Macaca fascicularis: one gene and its partners. The protein of the gene in region 1 purifies or fractionates together with the protein of each later gene. This does not show direct contact. Links are inferred from orthologs where the notes say so. Each region holds a gene or a part of one and is shown in the gene's direction. Other genes may lie near its edges.

Evidence for each region.
Region 2: the proteins of PRKAG3 (region 1) and PRKAA1 purify together in Homo sapiens (affinity purification with mass spectrometry; 3 studies listed by BioGRID and IntAct, counting the BioPlex papers as one, with this or other methods). This does not show direct contact. The link is inferred for Macaca fascicularis from reciprocal best matches to the Homo sapiens genes PRKAG3 and PRKAA1.
Region 3: the proteins of PRKAG3 (region 1) and PRKAA2 purify together in Homo sapiens (affinity purification with mass spectrometry; 3 studies listed by BioGRID and IntAct, counting the BioPlex papers as one, with this or other methods). This does not show direct contact. The link is inferred for Macaca fascicularis from reciprocal best matches to the Homo sapiens genes PRKAG3 and PRKAA2.

Annotation. Positions count from the first base shown.
Region 1 is NC_088386.1:114,757,819-114,761,413, reverse strand, and holds part of PRKAG3 (5'-AMP-activated protein kinase subunit gamma-3), read left to right. Parts: intron 1-242; coding exon 243-324; intron 325-781; coding exon 782-840; intron 841-965; coding exon 966-1,011; intron 1,012-1,215; coding exon 1,216-1,270; intron 1,271-1,361; coding exon of another isoform or gene 1,362-1,407; exon of another isoform or gene 1,408-1,471; coding exon 1,472-1,598; intron 1,599-1,745; coding exon 1,746-1,911; intron 1,912-3,595. UniProt on the Homo sapiens protein: AMP/ATP-binding subunit of AMP-activated protein kinase (AMPK), an energy sensor protein kinase that plays a key role in regulating cellular energy metabolism.
Region 2 is NC_088380.1:41,068,009-41,071,660, reverse strand, and holds part of PRKAA1 (5'-AMP-activated protein kinase catalytic subunit alpha-1), read left to right. Parts: intron 1-906; coding exon 907-1,051; intron 1,052-3,310; coding exon 3,311-3,398; intron 3,399-3,652. UniProt on the Homo sapiens protein: Catalytic subunit of AMP-activated protein kinase (AMPK), an energy sensor protein kinase that plays a key role in regulating cellular energy metabolism.
Region 3 is NC_088375.1:177,974,896-177,978,547, reverse strand, and holds part of PRKAA2 (5'-AMP-activated protein kinase catalytic subunit alpha-2), read left to right. Parts: intron 1-1,034; coding exon 1,035-1,539; intron 1,540-3,156; coding exon 3,157-3,283; coding exon of another isoform or gene 3,284-3,339; exon of another isoform or gene 3,340-3,374; intron 3,375-3,652. UniProt on the Homo sapiens protein: Catalytic subunit of AMP-activated protein kinase (AMPK), an energy sensor protein kinase that plays a key role in regulating cellular energy metabolism.

The DNA of each region.
Region 1 (3,595 bases):
CTCAGGCCACAGCCTTATCTATGTACCACATGTCCGCAGCAATGATCATGTCTAGTGTGTACTGTGTCATGAGAAAGACAGGCCAGCTGGTGTAGAGGAGGGTCCAGGAGAAGGCCCCATGGAAGAACCCTGGGTGAGACAGGGAGGGGACAGCAGGCAGATGGGAGGTGCCCACTGAGGGGCAGAGAGGAGGGTGAGGGTCTCTCAGGACCCACCCTTGACTGTTCTCCCTGGCCCCTCAGATCAAGAAGGCCTTCTTTGCTCTGGTGGCCAACGGTGTGCGGGCAGCCCCTCTATGGGACAGCAAGAAGCAGAGCTTTGTGGGTGAGAAGAGGCTGGGGAGGTGAAGGGAGATGGAGAAGGGGAGGTGGGGACCTCATACGGTTGTTCTGGGGCCAATCTCTGATATAGCACAAGCTTGGCTTCAGGCCAAGCCCAGCCAGGGGCCAGGGTGGGGGAAAGTCCGTCCCGAGTCTGCGTGGCCAGCTGGGAGACCCTGGGGCTCAATTTCTCCATCTGTGGAGCCGCTGTGACCAGCTGACACCTTCCAGCTCTGCTACTGCATGGCCCCATGCCGTAGGTGCTAGGGAGCAAATGCGGGGAGGCAGGAGAGAAAGAGCCCCACTTCTCAGGCCTGGGGGGCTGTCCCACTGTCCTCTTCCCACAGTCCCCACTGTGTCTCAGTGCAAGGAAACTGGCAGGGTGGGGAGGGGATCTGATCCTCAACCTGCTTCCCACCCAAAGGCCCCAAGCTGACCTCCTCCCCGCCCCTCCCCTGCAGGGATGCTGACCATCACTGACTTCATCCTGGTGCTGCATCGCTACTACAGGTCCCCCCTGGTGAGGAGTGGGCTGGGAATCTTATGAGCACCCAGAGGGGCGGGGGCGGAGGGAAGTCCTCCTGGAGCCTGGTGCCCTAGAAGCCCATGTCTGTCTGACTTCTGGAGTCCTGTTGATATCTCTAGGTCCAGATCTATGAGATTGAACAACATAAGATTGAGACCTGGAGGGGTGAGTGGGGAGAGGAACCCGGAAAGGGGCTGTTGGTGAGGGTGGGCCAGGGCCTAAGGCGGAGGATGGGCAGGGGGGATGTCCTGGAGCGAACAGGGGAGGGACAATAGGAGCCCCGGGTGCCTGAAAGAAGGGAAGCTGCCTGGGATTGCAAGGCGAGGCAGGTGACCAGCTCCCCTGGCCTGACTCTGGCTCTTTCTGCAGAGATCTACCTGCAAGGCTGCTTCAAGCCTCTGGTCTCCATCTCTCCTAATGACAGGTGGGTGTCCCTGCTCATTCACCTGTGCCTCCTCCTCCCACAGTCCCCTTCCTCAGTCCCACTCAGCTCTGAACTCACCTCTTCATCCTAGGCGACACACGGACAAGGGAGCCTTGGTGCTCTGCCCTCCTTTTTAGGGGGCTGGGATGGCGGGTGTCTCTCCCCAGGCTGCCTCGAGGCTCACTGCTCCCATCTCTGCAGCCTGTTTGAAGCTGTCTACACCCTCATCAAGAACCGGATCCATCGCCTGCCTGTTCTGGACCCGGTGTCAGGCAACGTACTCCACATCCTCACGCACAAACGCCTGCTCAAGTTCCTGCACATCTTTGTGAGCCTGGGCCCAGGTGGGAGGAAGCGGGAGAAGGGTGATCAGAGGGCCTGAGGAGTCTTCAGCCCTAGGAATCGGAGGGAGGAGCTGGGAGCCCTCTTGAAGCTGCTGGATCCCTGATCTCCACCGGGTCCCCTTCCTAACCAGGGTTCCCTGCTGCCCCGGCCCTCCTTCCTCTACCGCACTATCCAAGATTTGGGCATCGGCACATTCCGAGACTTGGCTGTGGTGCTGGAGACAGCACCCATCCTGACTGCACTGGACATCTTTGTGGACCGGCGTGTGTCTGCACTGCCTGTGGTCAACGAATGTGGTACCCAGCACAGGATGAGAGGCTTGGGCTGGGCTGGGGCCTGGGAGAACCTGGCAGGGGAGAATATGGGAAGGGCAGGGGTTCCCATGCCATCCCTGTGGGGGGTACAGGATGGACTATGGATTAGAAGTCTCCATCTGCTCTGAGACTTGGGCCGGTTGCTTAGCCTCTCTGTGCCTCAGTTTCCTCCTTTGTGAAATGGGATTCTTCACAACACTCATCTTTCTGACTTCACAGGAGGATTTAAAAGGTTATATGCACGAAAATGAGCATAGTGACAGGAAGCAGCAGATTTTAGTTTTAGTTCATCTTAAAATGGAGCCAGGCACGTGGTGCACGGCTGTAATGCCAGCACTTTGAAAGAGGCCAGAGCGAGAAGGTAGCTTGAGGCCAGAAGTTTGAGTTTACATACAGTGACACTTCAGGCTGGGCAACAGAGCAAGACCCTGTCTCTAAAATAATAACGAAATAATAAAATTTAAAAAGTAAAATGTGCCATGGGACCTCGGGCCCCTAGCCAGACCTCAGTTTCCTACACTGAAAAAGGGCTAGAGGGACGACAAGATTATTTCTTTGGTTGAATGATGGCTATGAAATATTTCAAAGCTAAAATCACCATAATTAAGATAGATATCAAGAACTGTTTTCAATTTATTTTTGATTATATAAAACTTCAAACATATGAAAATGGTACAAAGAAACTGCATAATGAACCACCTATATCCATTGCCTAGATTAACTACTGTTACTGTATTGCCATAAACAGTTCATCTCTTCTCTGAAGTAATTCAAAGTAAATTACAGACATCATGTCATCTCACCCCTAAACATTTTAGTCTGCACCTCTTAAAACAAGTGTATTTTTGGCCAGGGGCGGTGGCTCACGCCTGTAATCCCAGCATTTTGGGAGGCCAAGGTGGGCGGATCACAAGGTCAAGAGATCGAGACTATCCTGGCCAATGTGGTGAAACCCTGTCTGTACTAAAACTACAAAAAAAATTAGCTGGGTGTGGGGGTGCACACCTCTAGACCCAGCTACTTGTGAGGCTGAGGCAGGAGAATCGCTTGAACCTGGGAAGCGGAGGTTGCAGTGAGCCAAGATCACGCCACTGCACTCCAGCCTGTTAACAGAGCAAGACTCCAAAAAAAAAAAAAATGCATTTTATACCACCAAACAAAACCATGAATAATTCATATTATTGTCTGGTATCCAATCCTTATTCTCACTGCTCCATTTCCTCAAGAATGTTGGGCTTTTTTGTTGTTGTTTTGAGATGGAGTCTCGCTTTGTCACTCAGGCTGGAGTGCAGTGGCACCATCTCGGCTCACTGCAACCTCTGCCTCCCAGGATCAAGCAATTCTTGTGCCTCAGCCTCCTGAGTAGCTGCGATTACAGGCAACCCCCACCACGCCCAGCTAATTTTTGGGGGGTGGTATTTTTAGTAGAGATGAGGTTTCACCATATAGGCCAGGCCGGTCTCCAACTCCTGACCTCAAGTGATCCACCTGTCTTGGCCTCCCAAAGTGCTGAGATTACAGGCATGAGCCACCACGACCGGCTAAGATTTTTTTTTTTTTTTTTTTTTTTTTTTAGACAGAGTCTTGCTCTGTCGCCTGGGCTAGAGTACAATGGTGCGATCTTGGCTCACTGCATCCTCCACCTCCCGGATTCAAGCAATTCTCC
Region 2 (3,652 bases), on another chromosome or scaffold:
CTTGGTGGCATGCATCTGTGGTCCCAACTACTTAGGAGGCTGGGGTGGGAGGATTGCTGGAGCCCAGGGAAGTGGAGGTTGCAGTGAGCCGTGATGGCACTACTGAACTCCAGCCTTGATAACAGAATGAGACTGGGTCTCAAAATATAAATTTAAAAACCCAAAACAAACAAAAACAAAAACAAAAAGGTAGTTGCTACATAAGATTTTTTTTTCCAGCAAGCATATTAAACATAAAATGCTATGATATTTTATTAAATTAATTAAGGTATTTCTTGTTACAATATCTTATATTTTGGGACATATAGCAACATAGTTGCGTGCTGGTTTATGAATAGTGCTTAAATATTACTTCCTCATGGTCTAAAATAGTATCCCCCACCCCACTGTCACTCACTGTACCCATATTTTGCTTTGTTTTTCTTCAAAACAGTATCACTCCTTCAGACTATATTTATTAGTCTATTTTCATCAACTAGATTAGGGTCTTTGTTTTATTCATTGCTGTGTAATGAATGTCTAAAACAATGTATAGCACATTGAAGGTATTTAGTAAATATTTGTTATAAGAATGAAAAATTAAACATTTCCGGCTTATAAAAGAAAATATGCCACATTTCAAGTAGATATTGAAATTATTTGAAATAACTCATGAGAAGGCAAGCTGTTACAATGTAGTCATATGCAAATGATAATATTAGAAACTTGAGTTACTGATTTGGGTTCCAAGACCATCTTAGCATTTCTGTTTTGTGCTACAGGTATCTCCTCCTCCTGTCAAAAGTATCTCATAAGTTCATTTGGAAGATTTTCATGTATTTTGACAATTTTATATGTTGGAGAATTATATATAGGACAATTTACTTTGAAAGACACACCTTTAAAATGCCTCTCTACTTTTCTTAGCTGGATGAAAAAGAAAGTCGACGTCTATTCCAACAGATCCTTTCTGGTGTGGATTATTGTCACAGGCATATGGTAGTCCATAGAGATTTGAAACCTGAAAATGTCCTGCTTGATGCACACATGAATGCAAAGATAGCCGATTTTGGTAAGGATAATTTTATAGTTTCTTACGTTCATTTCTAATGTTCTTATAGTTTCAATGAACCTATATAGAATTCTTCAGAAAACTGTAAACGATGACATAAAGTAATAGACTGAGTATGTCAAAGTATTCTATTTTGTCTATGAACATGCAAAAATAAGAAAAGCTAAGAAATCATCTTTTCTTAGGTTTAAATGCCTTTATTACTATTACTATTATTTTATAGAGACAGAGTTTCGCTTTGTTGCCCAGACTGGAGGGCAGTGACGTGATCATAGCTCAATGTAGCCCCAAACTGCTGGGCCAGGCGACCCTCCTGCCTCAGCCTCCTGAGTAGCTGGGACTGCAGGTCTGCACTACCATGCAAGGCTAACTTTTGTATTTTTGTAGAGATGGGTTCTCACTATGTTGTCCAGGCTTCTCTCGAACTCCTGGCCTCAAGTGATCCTCCTGCCACAGCTTCCCAAAGTATGGGGATTACAGGCATGCACCACTGCACCTGGCTCTTTAAATATCTTTAAAATTAAATTTTAAACAACTTAAGTTGGTAGCATTAGAGAGACTATTCAAAAAGAGAGTATTATTTGTGAAGAGAAGGTAGCAGCTTTATTTCCAGTATGTTCAAAAGAATCAAGTATGGAGAAGAAGGAAAGTGAGTGGGATGAAATTATTTAAAACTTTGAAAGCCAGAAGTGAACTATGTGAATTATAATTATTTAAAGTTATTTAAAACAATTTTTTAATTAAAAAAATTTATTTAAAAATTATTTTAAAATGTTTTAAATGATAGTAAATTATAATTTGTTTAAAGAACATTTTGATTGTTAAAAATGAATTTATTTTGACTGGGCATGATGGCTCACGCTTGTAATCCCAGCATTTTGGGAGGCCAAGGCGGGCGGATCACCTGAGGTCAGGAGTTTGAGACCAGCCTGGCCAACATGGTGAAACCCCGTTTCTACTAAAAATACAAAATTACCCAGGCATGGTGGTGCGCGCCTATAGTCCCAGCTACCTGGGAGGCTGAGGCAGAAGAACTGCTGGAACCCAGGAGGTGGAGGTTGCAGTGAGTCGAGAGTGTGCCACTGTACTCCAGCCTGGGCGACAGAGTGTGACATGGTCTCAAAAAAAAAAAAAAAAAAAAAGTTAGTTTTTTCTGTATTTCCTATATAAATTGCCATTGACCTTACTAAACCTAAGTGAAAAAGGAATCTCTGCACTTCTTTTCTTTAGGTTGGTTTTAGTTCAAATCAGATAAATTTTTTTTGTTTGTTTTTTGTTTTGAGACAGAGTCTCACTCTGTCACCCAGGCTGGAGTGCAGTGGTGTGATCTCTGCTCACTTCAGCCTCCGCCTTCCAGGCTCAAGTGATTCTCCCACCTTAGCCTCCCAAGTAGCTGGGACCACAGATGCGTGCCACCACACCCAGCTACATTTTTTTTTTTTTTTGTATTTTTGGTAGAGATGGGGCTTCATTATGTTGGCCAGGTGGACTCGAACTCCTGAGCCCAAGTGATCTGCCTGTCTTGGTCTCCCAAAGTGCTGGGATTACAGGTGTGAGCCACCATGTCTGGCCCAGAGAACATTCTTATAAATATTTTCCTTAGTTTTGACTACATCTGTATATCTATATTTACACCTGTATCTACTTAAATGTTTAGATATTAACTGAAAAATGCCAACCAAACCTGAGCTGGTTGTTTTGGTGTTTCTTTCTTTTTTCTTTTCTTTTTTTAATAGTAATTGGCTTAATTATTTGAATTTCTTATTCCTCAGTTGATTATTTTTATAGGGTGCATTTTTGGGGGAGCAACGGTTTCTTTTTGGAGTAAAACTACGAGGGAACTTTGAAATTCAAAATTACTGGCTTTTTTTAAAAAAATTTTTTTAAAGAATCAGAACAGGATTAATAGGAACTTTGAATTTTAATCCTTCTATTCATCTGTTATAGATTATTTTCCCTAGTAATTTCTGTATTAATAAAACTTAAACATGCCAAGTTTTTTCTAATAAGCAAAATAACCAACAGCTTAATATTTGCATTAAACTCTAACAGTGCACTAACTTTAAATGTTGAAATAGATTACACATTTTAGGGCATAATGGCAGAATATTTGGCTACAATAGACCATAGGATTTTGTTGAAGCAAATAACAAAATGATGATTTGTCATTTTTAATGCAAACTCAATTTTACTGTTTAATGGGGTTTTAATTTTTGTCTTTGGGAAATCTTTTGAGTAGCTGATTTTGTGCACTTTCAGGTCTTTCAAACATGATGTCAGATGGTGAATTTTTAAGAACAAGTTGTGGCTCACCCAACTATGCTGCACCAGAAGTAATTTCAGGAAGGTAGTATTTGATACCCCACCACCCTCAATACATTTGAAATTGTCTTTTTATCCTAGATTCTGTCAGTCTATAGTGTCATAGTTAATTCTAATGAAAAGAAAGAAAAATAAGGCTTATTCTTAACCACATTTATATGTGAATGAGGGTTAAGGACTACAAGTCAACATTATATTAAAGTTGTTAGAAGAGAGTACATTAATTTTTTTCCCAGGTGGAAGAAATGGAAAGTTTAAAACCTAGGGTGTTTAAAAAGT
Region 3 (3,652 bases), on another chromosome or scaffold:
AATCTCTATTCAGCTAAAATATAATCTTTGTGAGGAATGTTTCTTTTTATCCATAGTATGTCCTCAGTAAATATTCAAAAATAAATTAATCAGTGAATAGAAGACATTCAGTCAAAATATGTCTTCATCTGAACTTACGGGATGCCCAATTCTACCAGGTAGTAATGCCTGAACAATCTCGAAGGAGTAGTTTGTGTTAGATGAAAATAGTTTGATATTCTAGGATAACAATAGTAACATCAAGCGCAAAGGCCCAGAAGTGTGGGAAAATAAGGCTTAGGAGAGCAGTTCTCAAAATTTTTGATTTTAAAATCTTGTAACTCTTAAAACTTATTGAGGACCTCAAGGGGAATTTTTAAAAATGCAGGTTATATCTATCAATATTTACTGTATTAGAATTAAAACTGAGAAATTAAGAAAATATTTAATTTACTTAAAAATAACTATAAACCTACTACATGTTAAATAATACATCTTTCATGAAAAATCACCATATTTTCCAAAAAAAATTGTGAGAAGAATGACTTTATATCAAAGACAGCTAGGTTCTCATACCTTCTTCATTCAATCTGTTGCATTATTTTGTATTAGTTGAAGTGTATAAAGAAGGTCTGACCTCACTCAGATAAGTGGTTGGGAAAGAAAAAAAGTGTATTTATTATTATTAACACCAACTTTATCAGAAAGTCTTTAAGTATTGAGAAGCTGTGAAACTCATACAAATCATACAAAAGTTTTGCTTGAAAGCTTGAATTTTATCATTAGCAACAAATATTGCTGGTTGTTTTCCTTAAAGCGATGGGCTCGCTTTTTTCATTTTTGAGAAAATGTCGGCCAAATGCCAAGTCTTAATAACCATAGTTATTCAAGGGTAGTGGGTAATTAACTTGCTTAGGATCACATAGCTAGTAAGTGGCAGAGCTAGGTCTAGAGACCAGATCTTTTGATTATATTCTATTATGTTGCCCTATGTCTAAATTATTTGGACTTGCCAAAGCGTGTCTTACAATAGTGTATTGTGGTGTTTTTCCTAGAGAGCATGAATGGTTTAAACAAGATTTGCCCAGTTACTTATTTCCTGAAGACCCTTCCTATGATGCTAACGTCATTGATGATGAGGCTGTGAAAGAAGTGTGTGAAAAATTTGAATGTACAGAATCAGAAGTAATGAACAGTTTATATAGTGGTGACCCTCAAGACCAGCTTGCAGTGGCTTATCATCTTATCATTGACAATCGGAGAATAATGAACCAAGCCAGTGAGTTCTACCTCGCCTCTAGTCCTCCGTCTGGTTCTTTTATGGATGATAGTGCCATGCATATTCCCCCAGGCCTGAAGCCTCATCCAGAAAGGATGCCACCTCTTATAGCAGACAGCCCCAAGGCAAGATGTCCATTGGATGCACTGAATACGACTAAGCCCAAATCTTTAGCCGTGAAAAAAGCCAAGTGGCATCTTGGAATCCGAAGTCAGAGCAAACCATATGACATTATGGCTGAAGTTTACCGAGCTATGAAGCAGCTGGATTTTGAATGGAAGGTAGGAAATTATAATGTAATAAGATCATTTGTAGAAGTCATTTTTCTATATTGTAAGCTGCTCTGAGCTCCTGAGTTGAGTATTAAGCCCATCTTTTTCTAGTAATATGCCATGCACATTAAAAACAAAACAAATAACCTCTGTAAGGATGAAAAGTGGTTGATACTGGGAACCAACATATTTTGAATTATAGCAGTGTTCTTGGTCAAGAAAAAAAGGAATCAACTAGAAACCTTCTGAGAAAATAGCTTACCAGTTTCAGCATACATCATAGCAATGAAAAATCATGAGTGTCTTCAAAGATAGTATGTTTTTACTTTCTCTTTTTTTTAGGGAGGTTTTTTTTTTCTTTTCTTTTTAGGGAACAGAGGCAGGTGGTTGTAATAGCTAGTGGTCAGTACAAATTATATCAGGACATATTTATTCAGTCAATTAACACTTTTCTCCAAGTTGTGATATTCTCTCTTATTTGGCTAGTGCTTTTAATACTTATAGTATATTTTCCTTACTCTCACGCCACAGTTTGCTTTTCTTAAAAATTAGTGCTCAATTTCATTTCAGTTCTATTTGAATATATGTGTGGGGAGGGGCATTTTTTTCTTCGGATATGCCTTTCACTCTTGTTCTTTTCTTGAGGATTGTGAACTTTTAAAGGAAGAAGAAAAATGTGCAAAATTACCACATAAATATGCATTTGACATGTTCAAATAAATCAGTCATTTTCATTTTATTATCTGTACATGAAATAAATATTTTCTTAAAATCATTTAAAAAACAGATCTCTTTGTTTTGAAGCAGTCGTATTTAGTTAAAAAAGAAATGTTAACATTTTTAAAATTCTGTACTGAAACATTTTTGAAACTAGTACCACAGATGTTTTGAAAATCCAGAACCTTCAATGCAGTGTTTTTTTGTTTGTTTGTTTTGTTGTTGTTGTTTGTTTGTTTTTTTGAGACAGAGTCTCACTCTATTGCCCAGGCTGGAGTGCAGTGGTGCAGTCTTGGCTCACTGCAACCCAGGGTCAGGCTATCCTCTCACCTCAGCTTCCCTCGTAGCTGGGACTACAGGCGCCTGCCACCACACTCAGCTGATTTTTTTGGTATGCTTTTGTAGAGATGGGGTTTTACCATGTTGCCCAGGCCGGTCTCAAGCTCCTGGGCTCAGGCAGTCCACCCACTTTTGCCTCCCAAAGTGTTGGAATTACAGGCATAAGCCACCATGCCTGGTCCTCTTTGTTCCTTCTACTCCACAAGCATCCATGAACATGGTTCAAGCAGAGACTGGGCAACCAAATTATAATTGATGTTTTAGAGTTGATGCTTATCTAGAGTGAAAGCTAGACCCGATGTAATCTCTGGGTTCTCTTTTTCTTTTATATTTCACTTTTTTCTTCAGTACCCCAAATTTATTCAAGTAGCTTTTCCTTTAAATCTTAATTGCCATACAATACTGCTAGTGGGGATTAAATAAATACTAAAGTAAACTACCAGTAATATAAAAAAATTATTCAGATATTCCTTTCCTATCTCACCCCTATTAATTACTTATTTTGACCTTTTTTTGCATAAAAAGGGAGATATTTTGTAGTTGATTATTTTTATTGATTTTTCACTTTAGGTAGTGAATGCATACCATCTTCGTGTAAGAAGAAAAAATCCAGTGACTGGCAATTACGTGAAAATGAGCTTACAACTTTACCTGGTTGATAACAGGAGCTATCTTTTGGACTTTAAAAGCATTGATGGTAAGGAAGCTATGCATTGCATGAGCTCTGAGAAGATAAAACTTGGCACTAGTTGACCAGATGTTAAAATCATCTCGAAGACATCCGGTGGGTAGGTCATGCACTGGTTTTTAAGTAATCTTAGACTTAACCAAAATGTAAGTGAAGTGAAAAGGATGAAAGACATGTTGAATACCTCTTACCTGGCATCTTTCCACAAGAAGTATCTCCGTGGCATAAAAGAATCATTTGAAGTATTGGCCATGGAGCACAAGTAAGGAACAATAGGGAAGTAGGTTTCACTTTTTAAAATTAACTGATTTGTCAGATTCTTTGTCACATTTCTCCATTCATATTTTATTAGTTAGTATTGTAGTGTCTAAACTTTCC